Caenorhabditis elegans: one gene and its partners. The gene in region 2 interacts genetically with the main gene of each other region. Each region holds a gene or a part of one and is shown on either strand. Other genes may lie near its edges.

What was found.
Region 1: of pbrm-1 (region 2) and eor-2, changing one enhances a phenotype caused by changing the other (phenotypic enhancement), as found in Caenorhabditis elegans (one large-scale study listed by BioGRID).
Region 3: of pbrm-1 (region 2) and eor-1, changing one enhances a phenotype caused by changing the other (phenotypic enhancement), as found in Caenorhabditis elegans (one large-scale study listed by BioGRID).

What each region holds. Positions count from the first base shown.
Region 1 is NC_003284.9:14,601,222-14,609,078, forward strand, and holds eor-2 (EOR-2), read left to right. Parts: upstream 1-1,843; 5' UTR 1,844-1,870; coding exon 1,871-1,940; intron 1,941-2,027; coding exon 2,028-2,158; intron 2,159-2,372; coding exon 2,373-2,543; intron 2,544-2,635; coding exon 2,636-2,734; intron 2,735-2,789; coding exon of another isoform or gene 2,790-2,795; coding exon 2,796-3,218; intron 3,219-3,367; coding exon 3,368-3,527; intron 3,528-3,647; coding exon 3,648-3,692; intron 3,693-4,416; coding exon 4,417-4,505; intron 4,506-4,550; coding exon 4,551-4,857; intron 4,858-4,910; coding exon 4,911-5,205; intron 5,206-5,407; coding exon 5,408-5,537; intron 5,538-5,588; coding exon 5,589-5,732; intron 5,733-5,781; coding exon 5,782-5,950; intron 5,951-6,003; coding exon 6,004-6,141; intron 6,142-6,630; coding exon 6,631-6,797; intron 6,798-6,966; coding exon 6,967-7,200; intron 7,201-7,257; coding exon 7,258-7,404; 3' UTR 7,405-7,433; downstream 7,434-7,857.
Region 2 is NC_003279.8:7,493,791-7,498,478, forward strand, and holds the start of pbrm-1 (Bromo domain-containing protein), read left to right. Parts: upstream 1-1,646; 5' UTR 1,647-1,651; coding exon 1,652-1,777; intron 1,778-1,823; coding exon 1,824-2,821; intron 2,822-2,873; coding exon 2,874-3,216; intron 3,217-3,272; coding exon 3,273-3,799; intron 3,800-3,877; coding exon 3,878-4,688. Other genes in the region: T28F4.4 (Inverted formin-2), read right to left, coding at 1-76, 133-419.
Region 3 is NC_003282.8:4,793,173-4,801,095, reverse strand, and holds eor-1 (Zinc finger protein), read left to right. Parts: upstream 1-1,908; 5' UTR 1,909-1,919; coding exon 1,920-2,001; intron 2,002-2,062; coding exon 2,063-2,343; intron 2,344-2,398; coding exon 2,399-2,512; intron 2,513-2,570; coding exon 2,571-2,713; intron 2,714-2,758; coding exon 2,759-2,932; intron 2,933-2,987; coding exon 2,988-3,245; intron 3,246-3,293; coding exon 3,294-3,367; intron 3,368-3,469; coding exon 3,470-3,654; intron 3,655-4,428; coding exon 4,429-4,627; intron 4,628-4,683; exon of another isoform or gene 4,684-4,832; intron 4,833-5,083; coding exon 5,084-5,267; intron 5,268-5,476; coding exon 5,477-5,577; intron 5,578-6,228; coding exon 6,229-6,437; intron 6,438-6,487; coding exon 6,488-6,670; intron 6,671-7,099; coding exon 7,100-7,389; intron 7,390-7,451; coding exon 7,452-7,704; 3' UTR 7,705-7,902; downstream 7,903-7,923. Other genes in the region: dpf-7 (Dipeptidyl Peptidase Four (IV) family), read left to right, coding at 1-353, 558-696, 744-860, 1,147-1,497.

The DNA of each region.
Region 1 (7,857 bases), on a different chromosome or scaffold from region 2:
AAAATAACAAAATTGACAGAAAAGGGAATTTCTTTCTGACCAGCTCTCTATGTATACAAGAACAGTAGTTCAATATTTTACAAAAAGTGTTTCTAAAATATCAATTTTTGTACAACAACGCGGAAAACATATGTATAAGACTTCTCACTTTAGCCGGTTTAAAAACTACAAATAAAGGTTTTTAGCATTAACGTTTTAAAGCAATTCTCAAAATAATACTGATCTGGAAAATTAATGCAATGGTCTTGTCTTTTTCAATTTCAGGTATTGACTTATTGTTTAACCTTTAAACTTGTAATAAAACAATTTTTACATTTTATTGAAGCACATCAAATCCAAAATTTTATTTATACTGAATGAAAAATGTTTCAACTAGATTTTGTCGAGTTCTGACAGCATAGTTTCGTAGACAAATCAAGAATTTTTAATTTTGCAATAACGTAACATCAAAACAAAATCGTAATTTATTTATTACCAAAACAAAGACGAATTAACTGAATGAATGAAACATGAAAAAGACCTGTATATAACACGTTGCAGATTTCAAACTATGCTGTTTTTTAATCAAAAATACAAATTGTCTTTGTAAAGTGTATCTCCACTAAACGTCTAACCACTGGCAGCAAAAAAATACCTATTTTGAAAATATGGCTATTTTTGTTTCCTCCGTATTGAATTTTTTTTTGAAATTCGAATTTTCCGAGTAGCAAAAAAGTGCCGTACATGAAAAAATATAATTTTTTTTGTTCTTTCAAGTCGATGTACCACCGTCTTTGCAACTACACTATTCACTCCAAAAAAAATCCAAGAAATTTTTTTTTTGCTACCACCATTAAAACGTGTGGAAATTATTTTAGACTGGTTAATTGCGAGTAGCAAAAAAGTGTCCTACCAGAAAAAATAGCAAATTTTCTGTTCTTTCAGGTCGATGTACCACCGTCTTTGTAACTGCGCTATTCATTTCAAAAAACACAAGAAATTTTTTTCAGAATGTTGAACTGGATGCAATAAAAATTTTAAATAATCCACTCTTCGAAATTCCGAAAACAGAACAAGACTTCACTGTGGTGATTTTCATTAAAATCAATATGTGGTAATTTTGTATACTCTCTCTATTTTCTGTTACGGATAAAATAAAAATTGACAACGGAATTTCTGAATTTGAAACATGCATTCAAAAAAAAAAACGATTCCTGTTGGTAACACATATGCACAGCACACTTAAAATGAAACAAACCTGATAAGACATTTTTTAAACTTTTAGGTTCAGTATTTTTGTATTATCTATTTGAAAAGTTACTATTCATTCATTTTTCTTTTTTCCTTAAAATTCTTGTTGCGGATGGAAAAACTAAACCTGAAAATAAATCAAGTGAATACATTAAGCTTTTTCTACTTTTTCCTTACAATGTAATAATTGAAAAGATGCATTTATGAGTTATCGTGATGTCTATTTTTGATTAGTCTCCTGTATTAAAAATCGCGGAAAGCATCAATATGGCCTACGTTTTAAACATCCTCGTCCGTACAGCCACTATCTCTTCCATTACCCTTCATATAATTACACCCGCGTGCCTATTCGCCCTTACACAGTCACTCAGTCCGTCCGTCCAGTCGACTTGTCCTCTTTCTCTGCACTCTCCGATCCTTAACCACTACTCACATGTAAACACACGCGACCGACTGCGATGTGTTCTTTTGCGCCGACCTCCTCTCGCGGACGAAAAATCAATAGGATGGCGGTCATTCGAATTGTGTAACGAAAGCGTTTTTTTTTGCTGCTTTCCGCGTTTTACTAGATTTATTTATAGGTTTGGTTTCCGTATTAATAGCCAATTTGTAGATTATCTAACTGCACTAATGAAATTCGATGGATCAACGTAATCAAAAATCTTTGCTGCCCGACTTTTCGGCAAATGGGTTTTCCGGGCAGTTTAATGGTAAGCAATAAGAAATTAAAAAAAAAAACTTAAAATTTAAAATTTAAAACTTATTGTTAAACTTATTTTATATGCATTTTTATTCAGGAATTCCTCATGGAAATACCAACGCAATTATGTCAACAATTCAGTCGTTGCAAATGCACAGCATGGGCAATCAGTTGTTGCCTCATGGCGATCTCCAAACCGATCTCCAAAATCAGTTTCTTATTGAGCAAGTGAGTTGGAAAATTCTAGCAAAAATATATTCGAGTGACAAAAATGTTAAACTACTCATTTTTGAAAATAAGATAGGATTATAAATCTGACGTGAGCTGTGTATATCATTTTGACTATCTTTGTCGCATACTTTGCACTTGAATTATTATTTTATTTACATAACTTTATTAAAAGCTAGTCGAAACTAAATTTGTATACTTCTTGTTGTTTCAGTTCCAACTAAGAGCAATGCAATCGATGTACAACACTTTTAACAACGGAAACCAGAAGCAACCTCAAGCAAGTCTTACAATGTCGCAGTTCAACTCAATGACTGGGAATGAGCCATCTACCTCAAGCAACGTGTTCTCCGCATCCATTCCAACTACTTCAGGAACACAAATTGTAAGTTGGTTTGTTTCAACCGCTTTTTCTCTTTCTCAAAAAAATTTAATTAAAAAGTAAATTCCGTTCATTTATTCAATGTATAATTTCAGAACGCATCTCAACCTATGATTCCCACCACATCAATGCATAATCTCGCTGTTCAGAGCTCTATGATGCTCGAAAACAAACTAGGACAAAATTTAAATCTAGTAAGTGGCATTGGTTTGGATAATAAATTAATTATATTTAACATGTGTGATAAAGTTTCAGAAAACTACCCAACTCGCACAAACGACCATACCTCAGGCACAAGCTGCTGTTGAAGATTGGATGAAAAACATTTGTGTGGATTCTTTACTCGACCCGAAACAAGCAAAGACACCATCAACAACACCATCTGCACAAGTTTCAGCTGGAACCACATTCAATAGTACTCCAGCAGTATCTTGTGCCACCCCACTGACGGCAACTGTAAGCCTGGCGACTAAACCTTCGGAACCATCTGCTGCTTCGTCTATGCCGACGTCTTCGGAATCGGTGGACGCGACGAAAGGGGACGCGATCGACTTTGATGATGAAGCGCATGATGATGTAGACAATATTTTTGGATTATCACTTTCGGAAAGTGACGTGAGGTCCGGCTCGATGTATCGACGGCCCGATTCGGCGGATCGTGTTCATAGTCCTATTGATGTAAGTGGGAAAGGATGAGTCTGGAAAAAAGAAAATTACAGTTTTCACAAAATTCGTTCAAAACTAAAATGATTGAATGAGTTTCTTTACCTACTATCTTTACAAAAAAAAATTCCAATCAATTTCCATTTTTAGTCAGTCTTTTCTAGTTTACGCCACCCGACTCTCCCCAAGCTGAACTGACATTTGACGAAATATTTGGAATATCAGCACCATCGACATCTGCAAAAGCCGCCACCAAAGAAAAGCCAGTACCGAAACCAAGGAGTGAAATGGTATTTCATGATGTTCCATCCACAAGTAAAGACGGTAAGAGTATATTTTTTAGTAAAACTAATGGGTATTTCGCTTTGAGAAAAATACACTTGTTTGGAATAATGATATACCACAGAAGGAAATTTTTTTCACCGACAATCTTCCCCATTTTAGATATCGCTACAGGGACGCGCGGCAATAAGGAATTTCCGGCAATAGGTAATTTCGGAAATTTCCGCCAACCGGCAATTCCGGCAATTGCCAGTTTCCAAAATTTTCGGCAATTTCGGCAATTGGCGAAATTACCGAAATTGCCAGTTTTCAAAATTTCCGGCAATTCCGGCAATTGGCGAAATTGCCAAAATTGTCTAAATTGCCGGACACGTTCTGCGATTTTCAAACCTAAATATATTTTAATAAAATTGAAAACATTCCACCCCTTTTTGTTAGTATTCGGTTAGTCTTTTTTTTAAAGAAAATGGTCAATCCTTAAAGGAATAAATCATTTTGAGCTTGAAAATAGAAAATTAATGATTAAAATGCATGTTTAGGCTCCTAAATCCTCAAAAAGTATCAAGTTTATTTATATATTTCCGGCAATCGGCAATTCCGGCAATTGCTGGATTTCAAAATTTCCGACAATCGGCAATTTTGGCATATGCCGGTTTATGAATTTTCGACATTCTGAAACTTCGGCAATTGTTGCGCACCCATGTCTCGCTATGTTTTCCTTAACCAGACCTCAATTTTTATGGAATAAATTTTTTTGTAGATGTCTGCAAACCACGTTAAAAAATGTTTATCAAAATGAAATTCATCGTTTTTATTTTTGAATAAACATTCTTCAGACTCAATAATCTCTTTTTAATATCATTTTTAAGTAACTTGTCTTTAGAATTAGTTTTACCAACTCCAAATCACATTAATCAAAACTAAATTACAGCTACTCCACAAAGAGTCCCGAAACCTGCTCCAACCGCTGCATCAAAAGAAGAGGATGACTTTGTCAACAACTTCGTTAAACCACAAAATGTAATCCACATTTACAAAATGTTTTTAAAAATTCAAATGTTTCAGGTTCCTGTGTACAAACAAAAAGCTGCCCTCATGTCCCTTGAAGCAAGAGAAAACGCTCGGAAAGAAGATCCAAACTATGATGCTTTTGAGTTTGAGGATGACGATGATTTCGTGTTTGGTGGGCCTTCGGCAGATTTGAGGCGTGAGCCTGAGCTTACGAAGAAGATTGAACAGAAGGCGAAAAGTGTATACATAACTGGAGTAGGGTTTTCAATTCGAAATGATAAAGAAAAGGAGTATAGTAGTAAGAAATATTATTCCAAACCATCAGCAACTCATCAGCCGAATTTCAATGACACAATTAATGGTAATATTTAACTTTACAATACCATATATTTATATCAAAATTACCTATTTCAGAGAAAGCATTTTTCACGACAGCTGATGAAATTCGTGCTCAAAAAGATCAGCAACTGGTTTGCGCATTCTTAAAACCCGAACAAGTTACCAGCACAGAATGCGTGAGGAATATGAGAAAAGTGACACGAGAAGAGCCAATGCTTCCGAAATTTATAATAAGGGTTGAGCAAGTGCAAAACCAGCATGAAGAACCAATGACTAGAAGGCGATATAAAAGAAAGAAGAACAAAAGTGATAATGACGACTCGGATTTTGAAGATGTGGCGTATAGGAAGAGGAAAACGGCAAAGAAAGTGTAAGTGGAATTTGATTGGGAATGGGAGTCTAGTTATTCTTCATGGCAAATAAAAAAATAAAGTAGGGCTTCCATGCAGGCGCCAAAACGCCTACCGGGAGCGGAACCCAAAAAGTGTCGGGCGCGGCGATAGAACCAAATTTTCAATATGTAGTTTTGAAGAAACTACGACTGTTTCAATTTATGAAAGTCCTATTTTCAGTTACACAATGCACAAAGAAAATGATCCCACTTTTCGACGAACTGTCTTGGACTTTTCAATTGGTCCATGCGTCTCTGATGAAGAAAAGAAGCGCGTCAGCATGTTTGGCCCGGCTGAAGGAATTTTACCCGTGAGCTTGAATTGATCGTTCTGTTTTAATTCCCAATTTGTGTATTATCAGAAAGGAACATATGTAATATGCAAAGCTGACATGCTGAAAGAAGATTGCGCTGTATGGAGAGTTGACAATCAGAATTTACTTCAGAAGTTTCCTCCGTTTAGAGATAGCAAAGCTAATCGACTAGTCTATCGCAGTAGTAGTACGGTAAGATTTGATTTTTGAGAAAGCGCAGCTTATATTTCACAGTTTTCAGTATTCGGGATGGTGCGAACAAATCTCATCACAATACTTCCGGGTCGCTGTGAAAATTATCAAACAGACACGTTCCGAGACAACAGTGGAGCCCGAAGTCCCCCTTGCCGAACTGTTTCCGGCGTCCTCTGTGGAATGGTTCAAGAATCCTGGGACTGTGTTTTTTGAAGGTATTTTGATAATTTTTTTTTGTTTCACCTTCTTTTATAAATAAATGTTGCAGAAGAGACGAAGGTTGAGCCAATAGACGATGATTCAATTTTAACGGAGCCAAGACGAGTCTCCCTAAACACTCTTGTCAACGCGTACCTAACACAGGTGTTTACAAAAACCCACGTGGAAAGCCTCATAGATGATAAAGGTAAGGTGGTTACAGAAGGACTTCTGACACGCTAAGCTTATTTCATTTTGAATGCCCAAAATTCAAATGGAAAATAAAGAACCATATGTTTTCAAAACAATTGTTAAAATTCCTTTAGGTCAATTTACAGAGCGGCGGCTCACTGATGCACATAGTGTTTATAGCATAGAATTGTTTTTTTTTTCTGTTAAAAAATTTGAACGATATCTCAAATAAGGTCTACAGGTTACTGTTCGCCGAAATGATTTTGCGCACAGCTCTGCGGTAGTTTTTGAAAAATTTGTAACAAAATACATGAAGCCTTATCAAGATCAATATGTTTTGAATTTGTTCATGCAAATTATAGCAAACTTTTCAAAATGTGCAAACTTAGAAAACTTCTTGAAATGTAATAAAACGTAGATCACGGCTCCCGTGTAACATAATATCACAAAAGAAAAATCAAAAAATAAAATGTTTGAATTCGATTAAAACTCGCCACTTTTTCAGATTGGACCTATTCTCGTTCAATAGCAGAACTCGAAACCAACAACAAACAATGCGAAGGGCTGATCAAAAAACGCATACCTGTCGAGCCGAAACACAATCGATGGATTGCGAAATACACTAGATTGGCCATATCAAAATCATCATTTCACTGCTTTACAAAGTGTCAGGTACAGTAAATATAATAAGATAGGGAAAGGAAGAACATCTAGTTGATTGTTCATTGTTTGCTACAGAATATGCAGAATATTGGAAATAGTGGTTAGTTGACATAAATTATATGATTTAGAAACTGATCATCAAAACGAATGAAGTCTATACAACTGTGTGTTTTTGCAGATTTGCAAACGGAAAAAGCCGCGGAGAGTGATTCACTTTTTCGACAAAACATCTTGCAATGAAAAACTGCTTGTGGAGAATCTATCAAGCGATATCCATGATGAAAATGAAGACGATGAAGAATATCCAATTGTATCTGATGCGATATCGTGTGGTCGGTGTTCAATGGCAGTTGACTTTCTTCACCGCATGCATCATATTAAATTCCATATGCTTAGGATATGTGAGGATAAGGTAATTAATTTAAATTTTAAAACAGTGTTATGAAGCTAATTCGGTTCTTTTTTACAGCTAGAAGAAATTGGTACATCTGATATCGACTTGACATCCGATAAGATTGTGGAGAAAGCGAAAGCCGACAAAGTCTGGACGCTTGGTGTCATTCAAAAATATTGCGATTTATGGGATCAAGTCCGTTACGAGTTTCGCGATGTGTAATACTGTAATAAACAATTTGAACAACTTTTATAACACATTTTGATTTTCGATTTCTGATTTTTCGACTGATATCCCTGAAAAATAATAGCGAAGAAGAAGAATGTAGTGTTTCTGCGACGGCTGATCACATGGAAACAAATGCTGCGCACTTATTTCTTGAACTTTCCGATTGCCTGTGCTTTTCTTTTCTCATAATTAGTTTTTCAACACAACTTTTGTAAAAAATTTTGTAAGAATTTTTCTGCGTAACATAATTCAATTATATTTTTATTTTTATTTATACGATATTGGCCAAATTTAAAAAAAACAATCCAATGTTTTCGAAAACTGGGCACTTTATCAGAACGTGTTCTGAAATTTTTTTTTTCAAAACTTAAAAAAGGACTATTGTAAGTGTATCAAGACAAAACCCCCACTGAAACAACTTCTTTAAAATAGGCCCATACCAAAAAA
Region 2 (4,688 bases):
TGTCGAAGTCGTCTTGTCCATGCAACAACAATTAGCCAATATACTTATAACGGATTTATGAAGATCCTCGTGGTACCTGAATAAATGATATGTTTTGTTCCAGATCTTTACGGTTTCCTTGATATAACTAACATAGAAGTGCCCAATAAGCTAGTTTCTCTAGAAAAGACCGAAACTAAATCCTCTAGATTCTTTTTATGTGATACAAAACTTCCAATTTTTGTTTCATTTGGAAGCATTGCCTTCAACTTTTTTGCAGATTTCAGTGCCACATCTTTATCTTCTACTTTTATTTTTGCAATGACATTCTCAAATTCATTTCTTGTATCGGCAGCTTTGGATCTCTTGTTCTGAATTGATTCGTCGTTCGCAACACTTCTCCTCTTTTTCGGTGGAATCGCACCTCCATTTGCGCTCATTGCCTGTAACAATTGGACCATTATGCATCCCTTTTGTCTTTTCTACACGCACACATGCACACCGTCTATTCTCTTTCGTTTGATTCGGTCGATATTTGTTGTGAAGGGAGAGACGCGCGCACTCCCCCTCTCTCTCTTACTGAATTGAAAATCCGAAAACGCGCCAACGAGTTCTTGCTGGCGCATATTTTCAAATTTTGAAGTTGCAATTAAAAATTGTTTTTTCTTGATTTTAAGCTATTTTGCTTACATTTTTATTATTTAGACGTATTTTTTTAGGAATCAATGTAATTGACTATTAAAAAACTATTGTTGATTGTAAATAAAGAAATTGCTATTAATTTGAATGAGGAAAACAAAAAAACGGCTTCTGCAGTTCATTTCTCTAATAAAAAACAATTCGAAACAATTCACATACCTTCTGAATCAGACTTTTTCTAAGAAATCAATAGTAAATCCTTTACTGCCCACACTTTACGTCGAACAAGAATCTCCCCGTGTTGACGCCTTTCTCGTGCACGGCCTTTTCACTGCGTTACTCTTTTCCTGTACACTCTCGTGTTGTCTGTGTCTGGCACCCAGCCAACACTATTCGCGCGCATTTTCTATTTTGAAGGCGACCCAATACGCTCGTTTCTTGGCCGTTTTCTAGCATTTTTACAAAATTTTTTTTGCGGATTTAAAAATTTAATTCAGCATGGTTCCATTTTTAATGTTCAGATGCAAATAAATCATGTAAAATTCTAGGGTTAACTCTCTTTAAAGCTCATAAATAAGAACTAATACTCTTTTCGAGAAGTAAGAGATAATCTATTTTTCCTGGCAATTTTCGTTCCTCTATTAATGTATAACAAAGCAGTTGAAGATTTATTAAAATTTTAAGAAAATTCATCAATAGAAATAAACTTTGTTCGCAAATTCACAAATATTTATAAGAACTTGCACTTCACCCTTCTTCTTTTTCAAATTTTCAAGTTTCGCGCGCACGCCGGCACACCAATCAAAAGATCAAAGTAGAATCTCTCATAGAGTTGGAAGCATAGCTACCAAACTAAAAATGTGTAAAAATATAAATTTCAAAATAAAGTTTAAAATTCTTCTAACGTTTAATTCTAGTTGATCTATCTCAGTTTTATTGTAGCTCATTTGTTATTCTTATTCTATTCTTTGTTAATCTGTTACTGTCTCAAGAATTTTGCTCGACTTTCAAATTATTTCCGTTTTCAGACTCAATGAGTACGAAAAGAAAGCGTGCTGCCGAGCCCGACCCGGAAAAGGATGTTGCTTCCACTTCTACCGCTTCCAAGAAGCGGAAAGGACGAATGACAATTGCGGAAAAGGAAAAGCGAGAGTTTGAGGTTGAATATATTTAATATAAGTGTAAATTTATTGTTCTTTTTCCAGATGGCGAAGGGTAATTATGTGATGGCACAGATTCGAAAACATCGAAGTTCCGCCGGCAATAATTCTGTATTCGAGAGTTTTCTCCGATTACCGCCACGCCGCTTCGAGCCTGAATATTATGAGCAAGTAAAAGAGCCGATTGATGTTACCACAATCCAACATAAACTGAAAATTCCCGAATATTTGACGTATGATCAGTTTAATGATGATTTCATGATGTTCATTAAAAACAACCTCACTTACTACAAAGACGAATCTGAAGAACACAAGGATATGATGAAAATTCAAGAACTTTTCGAGGCTGCTACCGCTAAGGTGAAATCTGGAGAATATCTAGATGACGCAGAGGACGAAGAGGGAGACGAAGATGTGGAAGAGACAGTTCAGGAAGAGGAAGAACCTGAAGAGAGTGGAACATCATCTCGTGATTCGACACCTATGGACCTGGATCACTTCATGCTTTGTGATCTTTTGGGAGCGGTTCTTGAAGCGACTGATAACACCGGAAGGCTTCTTTGCCCACCATTCCGAGTTCTTCAAAGTCGAGAAGATTTCCCATTGTACTATGAGAAAATAGCTAAACCAATTGATCTCAAAACGATTGCTCAAAACGGAGTGAACAAGAAGTATTCCACAATGAAAGAACTCAAAGATGATCTATTCCTGCTCTTCAAAAATGCACAGCAGTTTAGTGGAAACGGTAGTGATATTTTCAAAGATGCTGAACAATTGAAAACTGTTGTGAAAGAAAAGATTGCTCGATTGGAAGAGAAGGGAGTTCATCCAATGAGAAGAGCCAAAGCCACACGACTCGTTGATGCTTTGTTAACCGCTGTTGCAGTTAATGAAAACTTCTCAGAAGATTCAGAAGAGGACGAAGAAACTGAAACAAATTCGGAGCCTATGTGGAAGTTGTATTGGACAATCAGAAATGCTGTTCACGAGAAAGATCGAAATGTTACGCTGGCTGACAACTTTTTGGAACTTCCAAGCAAAGAGTGAGTATTAAAGAAAATATTAAAATGTCCATATTAAATGTTTCCATTTTAGATCTTACCCCGACTACTATGATGAGATCAAAAACCCTGTGTCAATTTTCATGATAAATAAAAGATTGAAAAATGGGAAATATGATTTGAAATCTCTCGTCGCTGATCTCATGCAAATGTATTCAAATGCTTTCGACTACAATCTTGAATCATCAGAAGTCTACATTTCTGCGGAAAAGCTGAAGGCACTAACGATATCCACGTGCAAGCAACTTGTTCCTTCATTCGATGTTTCTCAATACGAACCTGCTCCGGCACAACTTACACCAGTGAAACCAAAAGCGACACCACACAGAGCTCGAATTAAGATTGAGATGCCGGACACAGACTCGGAAGATAGTAGGGTATGTGTTTAATATTATTTTGTGTTGATACTTTTCAAAAATGTAATATATTTCAGACTCCACCTCCTACTCATAAAAGGAAATCTCCGAAAAAACCTCGTGAAAATGGAAGTGTTCCTACTCCAACTTTTAAAGGCAGAAAATCGACGATCCCTGTCGATCCAAATGCTGCTTATATGAAGCAAAAAGCAATGATGCAAGGGCTTTGGAACGTTATCCATTCCTACAGAGTCGCTTCGAATCCGGGACATTGGCCAGCGGGAGCATTCATACAATTGCCATCTGCCAAACAATATCCAGAATACTATCAAATTATTCAAAATCCGATTGATATGAAAACGATTCGGATGAGAATAGATGGACATCAGTATCCACAGGTTGATGCAATGATCAACGATTGTCGAGTGATGTTTTCGAATGCTAGAGATTTCAATGAACCCCGTTCAATGATACACATGGATGCTATTCAACTAGAGAAAGCAGTTTTGCGAGCTTATGAAGGAATGAGAAACACGTCACTGGGCTCTTCAATACCGTCAACTCCTCATTCGTCATCGTCAAATCTTATGAAAGCAATGAAACTGTAAGTTATAAAATTTTCTTAATTTATTGCATATTTTTGAATTTGGTCATATTTCTCACTGCAAATATATTTATTCAGAAAAACTCCGAAATCCGAGGTCCGTGGTCGCGGTAAAAAGAACTTTAGTGGATCTGATGATGAGGAATCAGCTCGAATTAACATACAACAACATCAAAGAAGCATGGAGGATGCTATAATGCAGCTTCCAATCGAAGAGCAAAAAATGTGGAGATTGTTCAAATCTATGAAAGATGTTCGTGAGGAAGGAACCAACCGTCCATTGGCTGTAAACTTCATGCGTCTTCCATCAAAGGAGGAATTTCCTGCATATTATGACGTCATTAAAAAGCCGATGGATATGATGAGGATCAAGCATAAGCTGGAGAATCGTCAGTATGTAACACTGCTTGATGTGGTTTCTGATTTCATGCTAATGCTTTCTAATGCCTGCAAATTCAATGAGACTGATTCTGACATCTACAAGGAAGCAGTTTCTCTTCAGAAGGCACTTTTGGAAATGAAGCGAGAGCTTGATACCGGAGATGATGCACCAAGAGTTCAGGTTGAATTGAGAACCATATTTACTTCAATATTTGCCTCGCTGTTCAGTAAGAAAGATGAAGAAGGAAAATGTTATTCGGATCATTTAACTGAATTTACGGAAGTTCTCAAAGCGAATGGAGTACCTTCATCTGAATGGCCATTCACTCTTGATCAAATTAAGATGAATATAGATAAATGCCGTTACAGACGACTCGATAAGCTTCAAAAGGACTTTTTCGATCTGTTCGAAAGAGCAAGAGAACTCTCAAAAGCAGGCTCTTCAATGTACGAAGCAGCATGTACACTTCAAAAATCATTTATTGTTGAACGTGATACACGATGCAAA
Region 3 (7,923 bases), on a different chromosome or scaffold from region 2:
GCGATTCACGTTGAAAGTTTAAGAACCACGTGCCTTGACTTGAAACGGCCTTCACTAATTATTGATGTTCGAGGCGATGAATTCCTTTTTGAAACGATCACAGCAAACGCTTATTCTCGTCTTTGGCATTCTCAATTGGGCTCACAAAGTGATGGTAAATTCACGGCATCGCTGTTATGCACACACAAGCCAGAAAACGATACGATTCACAATTTTCACATTTATCCAATGAGTTTTCAAAAAATTGGCAATTCTGCGATACTCTACATGTTGCCGGAATGTGTTTCTCCCGGATCGAAGTTCCCGCTGGTCGTGGTCCCCTTTTCCGGATTAGAACCTAATTTCACCGTTAGGTAGATTTTTTTTCTTTAGACTCAAAATTTATTGAAAAATCAACAAAAAAAGCATCGAAAGAATTGCAAAATTCACGGATCGAGCTTTCAATTTCAACCGCAATTTTCTATCTTTATTTTTTTAATTTAAAAATGTTCAAATAGCAATTTTCCCTGTTTATAAAGAATTGATTTATAAATTTAAAATTAAATTTAAATTTTCAGTACCGTTGACCCTGTGCTCTCTACAATGGTAACTTGTGGCTTCTGTGTGCTAGTTGTAAACTATCGGGAGCCATTTATAGCAATTCCAGGAACCTGCTTTCCAAAGAATTGTGGTTCGGAATGTATTAATGATGTTCATGTAGAGAATCGTTCGTTTTTTTCCTCATTTTATGATTTTTTTTACAGGAAACTGTACTAGAAGTTCTCGAGAGACACGGAGCGCGGTTAGATGAAAAATATATTTACTTGTATGGATTTGAATTTGGATCTTTTGTGGCGTGTAGTCTGATTATCAAACATAAGGTGGGATATTACATCGACGCGAGATTCTGCGATTTTTGGTGAAAAATACAATACCCGGTTTCGACACGACATGTTTTCTTCAGAAATATTTTGAAAGTTTTATTGATAGATCCGTCAGTTTTGCGACATTATAGTTAAAAAAAAACAAAGTCTCTGATTTCGGTACTCCACCTTTAACTTTCAAAAAATGTCGTGTCGTTACCCCGATATTTTTCTATTTTTGGCACGAAAATCACAAAATTTAGCGTCTCATGGATTTTCATATTTTTTAATTCACTATTTTCAGAAATTCTATAAAGGATGTGCACTCGTACGGCCGATGCTCGAATTTCCATTCACAACGTGTGCAGTTGATACAGAAAACCCTGAAGCTGAATTTCTGAAAGACGTGGAGCCGGTCTCACATGCGTCTGAAATTGTTACTCCGATGTTGATTGTTCTGGAGAATAAAAGCGATACAAAGTACAAAGATTTTGAGTCTACAATTCACAATAATGGCGTTCCGTGTTTTGGAGAATACGAAGAAGAAGACGAACAAGTGAATGATTTCGTTGTGAAAGTCATTCAATTTTATAGAACACCATATGGAGAATACGAGAATGGTTCTAGAATTGAAACGCCGGTTCCTGATGATTAATTATTTATTTTTTCTTTCTTGAATTATTACTAACTTATATTGTTAATTCATTAAAAAAACGCCGATTAGAACAATGTCTACATCAGCTTTAATTCGTTGTTAAAATATGTTACAAATTGGAATTTCGCTCAGTTTTAAATTTTTTATGTGTCGTTATGCTCAGATATATATTTTCTTTTTTTGAAATCTCGAATAAAATTTGAATTTCGTTAAATATATAACTATCGTTAAAAATCCATTGAAATAATATTTGCAAATCGATAATCTTTTAGATTGTTCAGTAGAGCGCGTCTGCACACTCCTCACCCGATTTGAATCGGAGCATTTATTCTAAGTTTATTGACGTCTTCCTCGATAAAATGTGAGTTTCCCATCGAATAAATTATAAAATCGCAATGAAAATTATTTCAATTTAATTTCAGATGACATTAGTAGCTAGTTCCGAAAACACAGGGCTCTGTCCAATGACATTTGATGATAGTTCTGGGCAAACCAGTCATATGTGTAAGAGTTTTGTATTTAATTCAATCTTGGCTTGATAATTAAATTAACTTTTATTTTTCAGTGTTCCAACGATTACAATATCAACGAAAAACCGGCCGATTTTGTGATGTGGAAATTGTTGTTCAAAACAAATCATTTGCGGCTCATCGAAACATTTTAGCAGCTCACAGTCCATATTTTGACGCAATTTTCAAATATTGCAAAATCACAAAGGAACAGCTCACAATAAATAGCAAATCTCCACAAGTTTTCGAGTTATTCCTCAATTATATGTACAGTGGAACAGTGATTATCGATCGATCAAGTGTTTCGGAGCTATTGAGATTTGCAAATAATTTTCTGGTAATATTATTGATTTTTCGATCGACTATTCCTGCTATAATTCCGTTTTTTTCAGATAGTGAAGCTAAAAGTGTATTGTGCAGCTTATTTGGATCGATATCTAGACGCGGCCAATTGCTTATCAATACGAACGTTAGCTCAGAGATATAATCTACCAGGACTTGTGAAAGTAAGAATTTGAATTTTTAAAGCTTTAAAAGCGAGAAACTTCGAATTTCTTTTTTCAGTCTGCTACAGACTACTTTGACAGCAATCTTAATCGATGTTTACTGGAATCCAGAGATATAATTGGTTACACGTATACACAACTGACAAGACTCATTGGAGATCCGAAATACGTGGATTGTATTACTTCTGACACTTATTTAAAGTGAGTTTTTTCGTTCCAAAATGACTAAAACAGTAATTTTTTCAGATTAATAGTCCGCTGGGTCGGTGAAGAAGTATCGAAGCGAGAGGAAATCTTCCGATTACTACTAGAATCCTGCGAATTTCGAGAAGTTTCAGCTGACACACTGGAATTTCTTCTGGATTACTCGCCGTTGCTATCGAAAAGTCAGAAAAGTCGATTTTTGCTACTACATGTCATGTAAGTGGAGTTGTTAAAGTTTACAAAATTATTACTGATGAAATAATTTTTGTAGGGAAACAAATAACATGCTTATGGAAAAGTACTCGACTCAACTGAGCAGTCTTCGTCAGAAAATCGTTGATCTTCCGATTCTCCACGATCCATCTCAATTTGAAGATGATATTTATGATTCAAGTGATTCTGAAGAGGATCCAGATGATTATATAGCTGATGGACATCCAACATCTGCACAAGTTGTTGAATACGGAAATGATGTTAATAATCGACTGAAAATGAAGATTGCATTCCAGCCGGGAAATGAGAAGAAGCGGTTAGTGATTATATGAAAAAATTGATAAAATTCAATGGAAAATTTTAGATTAAAACGACCAAAAGGAATGAAAAAACATCATTTGCACCCAATTCCACCGATTAATGCGACGGAAAATGAAAGTGAGCTGGTTTTTTTTCTCAAAAAAAAAGGGATTTTGTGAAATTGTAAAATCAAAAATTGAAGAAATCTTCTGTCAAATTCCTTATCAATAAAATTTCCAGGTATTCCATGGATCGACGAAGACGAAATTGATGGTGTATATGCTACATGTTCATTGGAAGGATGTCATACCTATGGACCAGTTGACAATTTGGATCCAGATGATTGTGAAGATGAAGAAGATCAACCTGATGAGAATGGACCGTCCACTTGTATTTTCTGTGGACTGCGGACTGCAAATGAGGAGGTATTGACAAAAAATAAATCAATTAAAACCTTGAAAAAATGCGAAAAAAATATTATTTTTCTCAAATTTAAACCGTCAATATGATTTATTCTATTTTTAGACGTCAAAAAGGTCTCGACACACCGAACAATGGGCTACAGTAACCTGTTGTCGGTGTGGTGAGACCTGACCAGATTTTGGCGAAAATTTCATATTTTGGCGTTTATTTAATATACAAAACTCGACACGACGATTTTTGGCTACATCAAGAAAATTTACGCCTTTAAAGATTACTGTATTTTCAATCTGAGGAGTTTTTATCGATTATTTTTAGTTTTTCGATAAAATATATTTATTTATCAACCAAATATTCCGAAATTTAAATAGTTTTTAAAAAGCTTAAATTTTAGAAAAAAAAACTATGAAAAATCAACAAAAACACCGTACAGTAATCTTTAAAGGCGCATAATTGTTTTCGGTTCTAACGAAAATTTGTCGTGTCGAGACCAGGCTCGAAAATTGCAAATTTTTGTGTCTATATAATATATATCTTTAAAAATATTTTTTTAAAGAATTACAGCACAATTTGGAAACTTTCATGCATAATTTATTTTTTTAAAAATATTTTGATGTAAAGTTCCATATTTTGGGAAAATGTAAAAACAAACTCGTGTACGAACGATCTTCTGCTGGTTTTATGAGTTTTATGTTCCAAAAAACCAAAAAAAAAAAAAAACCAGAAAAGTGTTGTAAAATATTTCGATCGATTCTTCAACAATTTCCTCATATTTTCAGCTTCTCGAAAAGCACAAAGCTCGTCATCACAATCGCAATACGTATTATATGTGTCATTTATGTGAATTTGAAACCAATTGGAGCAAACAATTCTATCTTCATTGTGCTGAGCACTGGACAGAGATACCGTATCGATGTGAAACGTGTCCGTTCACTTCAAATGAGATACAAGAGTTTTTGACCCATAGGCTTCAGCATAGTGAGTTTTTACAAAAATTTTGGAAAAAAACGTACATTTTTTAATTTTGAAAAAAAAACTCTTTTTTTTTGAAACTACAAAAAAATTAAATGTATTTTCAGATAAATCGTTTCTTTTTCTGAAATTCACAATGTTTCTTGAAATATAAACCTATTTTCATTTAAAAAACCAAATTATGAAAATTAATTTTTGTAAAAAAATTGATCGATAATGTTTTTTTCATATTTTCAGAATTTACCAACAATATCAATTTAAATTTTTAATTAATCTCCAAAAAATCGAATGAATAGCTAAGCTTTCAATTTTCTGTTTTTTTTTTAAATTTACCATCAGACACACGTTGACTTTGCCGAAGGAAACACATTAAAACCGAAAAAAAACGGCTGAATAAAATTGTTTTCCAAAATTACTTTCTAAAAGAAACAAAAAAACCCTCTAAAATTGTCAAATTTTCAGCCGACGAGCGTTTCTTCAAATGCGGTGAATGTGCATGGAAAGGTCGAACTCGTTCTCAACTGTTTGCTCACGAACGAATGCATTCTGTACTCGATGATCGATCATTACACTGTGAAGAGTGTGGAAGAGGATTCCAACAGCATAGTACATTGGATCATCATGTTGCTAGTCATAATGATCCTAGGTAAGTTTTTACTATGAAATTTCGAGATCTGAAAGTTAATAATGTGCGAATTTGAAATAAAAAACCATGCAAGATCTGATTTTGAGGCAATTCCAATTTTGCTAGTAACGTTTGGAGGCAATAATAATAATTGTCTCAAAACCAAACAAGGCGACTTTTATTCAAATTCAGAATTTTCACAATTTCCATCAAATTCTTCCAAATTTCAGGCCTTATATCTGTGAGGATTGCGGTTTCGCCACCAAAACCGCCGATCATCTTTCCCTTCATCGTCGTCAACATACTGGAGACAATTTTAGCTGTCACATTGGTCAGTTTGTATTTCCTGTAACACCACGCATTGGAATACACTGAATGCCAGAATAGTTCCGTTATCACCTGCCAACCGATCCATCATTTGGATGACTTTTGCGCAGTTCACTTCTACTTTTTTCCAACCAAAAACCCCCCTCGCTGCGTCTCCTTATCACCCGTACTATTCCATTAATTTTCGTTTCTCCTTGGCGACACAGCGCCGCCTTTTCCGCACAAAAAATGGTCGAAAAAACGAAAGAAAACGGCGGCTGAAGATAGAAACAGTGGTTAGATCATCTGTGGATCATATCACTTTCACTTTTTTTTTCTGCCGAACACACACTGGGGTACTGTAGGTATTTGGTAATGGTTTTATCGTCGCGCTCGACATAAAATCATTTCGACGTGTTTCATTAGTTTTTGCGCTTTTGCAGAGAACTTTTCTCAGAGCTTCTTCTTCTCCAATGCAGGGCCTTTCCCAGCTCGCTTCACGCTGTGCGTAATTTTTTCGAGTTTTTAAACATGGAGTATTGTTTAAACAGCTATGGAGTTGATCTGAGCAATTTTTTGTTATTTTTCCTATAAAATGACATATTTAAAGATCCTGAAAACTACACTATAAAATGACATATTTAAAGATCCTGAAAACATTACTGTTAATTTTCAGCCGGTTGCGACTACTCGTCGACCAAAAAAAGCCAACTGGCGGCCCATCTCCGTACCCACATGGCGGTTCGCGCCCATCTCTGCAAGATCTGTGGCCGTGGATTCATCGAAAAATCACATCTGGTCCGTCACGAGAGGATTCATTTGGAGGAGAAGCCGTTCAAGTGTGATCAGTGTGAATATGCATCTAGTCGGCGTGATAAGCTTAAGGTTTTTGAGCATTTTAGATGATAATTTTTGATAATTTTCATAATTTTTAGGAGCACATCATCAAGCATCACAATTCGGAAGTGCTCACATTCCAAAAGACTCAACGAAGAAAGTATAAGAGACAGAGAATGTTGGCTGCCGCGAGCAATATTGTGAATAATCCGGATGCTCTGTTCCGTCCAATTACTTCTGATGATGCTGTTAGCAATTGGCAGGCTACTAATGACTTTTCGGTAGGTTTATTGAATTAACGAAGAGCCAAGCGACAGAATTTCTGAAATTTCGCCAATTTTTCCTTGTCGAAGCAGCTGAAATATAGTTTCTTTCAAACTATAACCCGTTATTGCATATATTTTCGGTACTAGATCTTGCTTAAATTCGCCGATTTAGGCACTATTAAAGTCAATAAGCATCCAATTTTGGTCATATTATGCCAATATTGATGATTTTTGGATGCCTATCGACTTTAAAAGTGCCTAAATCGGCGAATTTCAGCAAGATCTAGTACCGAAAATATGCAATAACGGGTTATAGTTTAATAGAAACTATATTTCAGCTGCTTCGACAAGGAAAAATTGATGGTTTTTGGGATTTTTGAAAAATCGGCCGTTTGGGGTTATACAAACTTAGAATCTAGAAATTTCTCATTTATCAATTTCCAGACGTACTCTCCGAATCCCAACGATTACGGTGGACCATCAACTTACGGCAACCCTTCATCTCCTCAGCGTGCCTTCTCAGTCGTTCATCCATCTCAACATCAACATCATGCCCAATCACCTGGCTGTATGTCTATGATGAATGTTCCATTACGGGACAATCATCATCAGATGCAGCGACAGGATTCACCGGGAGATTCTGTTGGAGGTGGTCAAGGAGGTGGTGGTGGTGGTGGACCTGAAGGATCAGACAATACACATGGAGTTTTGATGACACCTAACTTGGTGATGAGGTTTGTTACCTGTAAATTTTGCAAAAAGCAGTGCCGCATTAATTCTAAACATTATTTTCCAGATCTCCACATAACCGGAGTGCTGTCCAACCGCAATTCAACAATCTCTCCACAAACTCTGATCCACAACAACAGCAGCAACAACAGCAACTCCGTCCATTCTCACTTCCAACCTACGGACAAATGGATTTGGCTCAGGCGGCTCAACTCCAGCAACTTCAACAACAACTACAAGCAGCCGGGCTTCCACCGACTGGAACCCCGAATAATCAAGATAATTCCAATAATGCATGGAATCCGTGGAATGTACAATAATAAATATAGTCCTGAAACTGCCTAAAACCTCACTTTTGAAAAAACCCCTTTACTATCTTTGCCTTTTCTTGTAACATGTTTCAAATTGTTCTTAATGCCTTCATTTTGATATGTGTATGATCTCCTTGTTTAATGCCTAATTAGTCCTAAATGGTTTTTATGGTTATAAATAAATTTATGAAATTATAGATGACATTTTTAACTGAAACATTGTTTTAT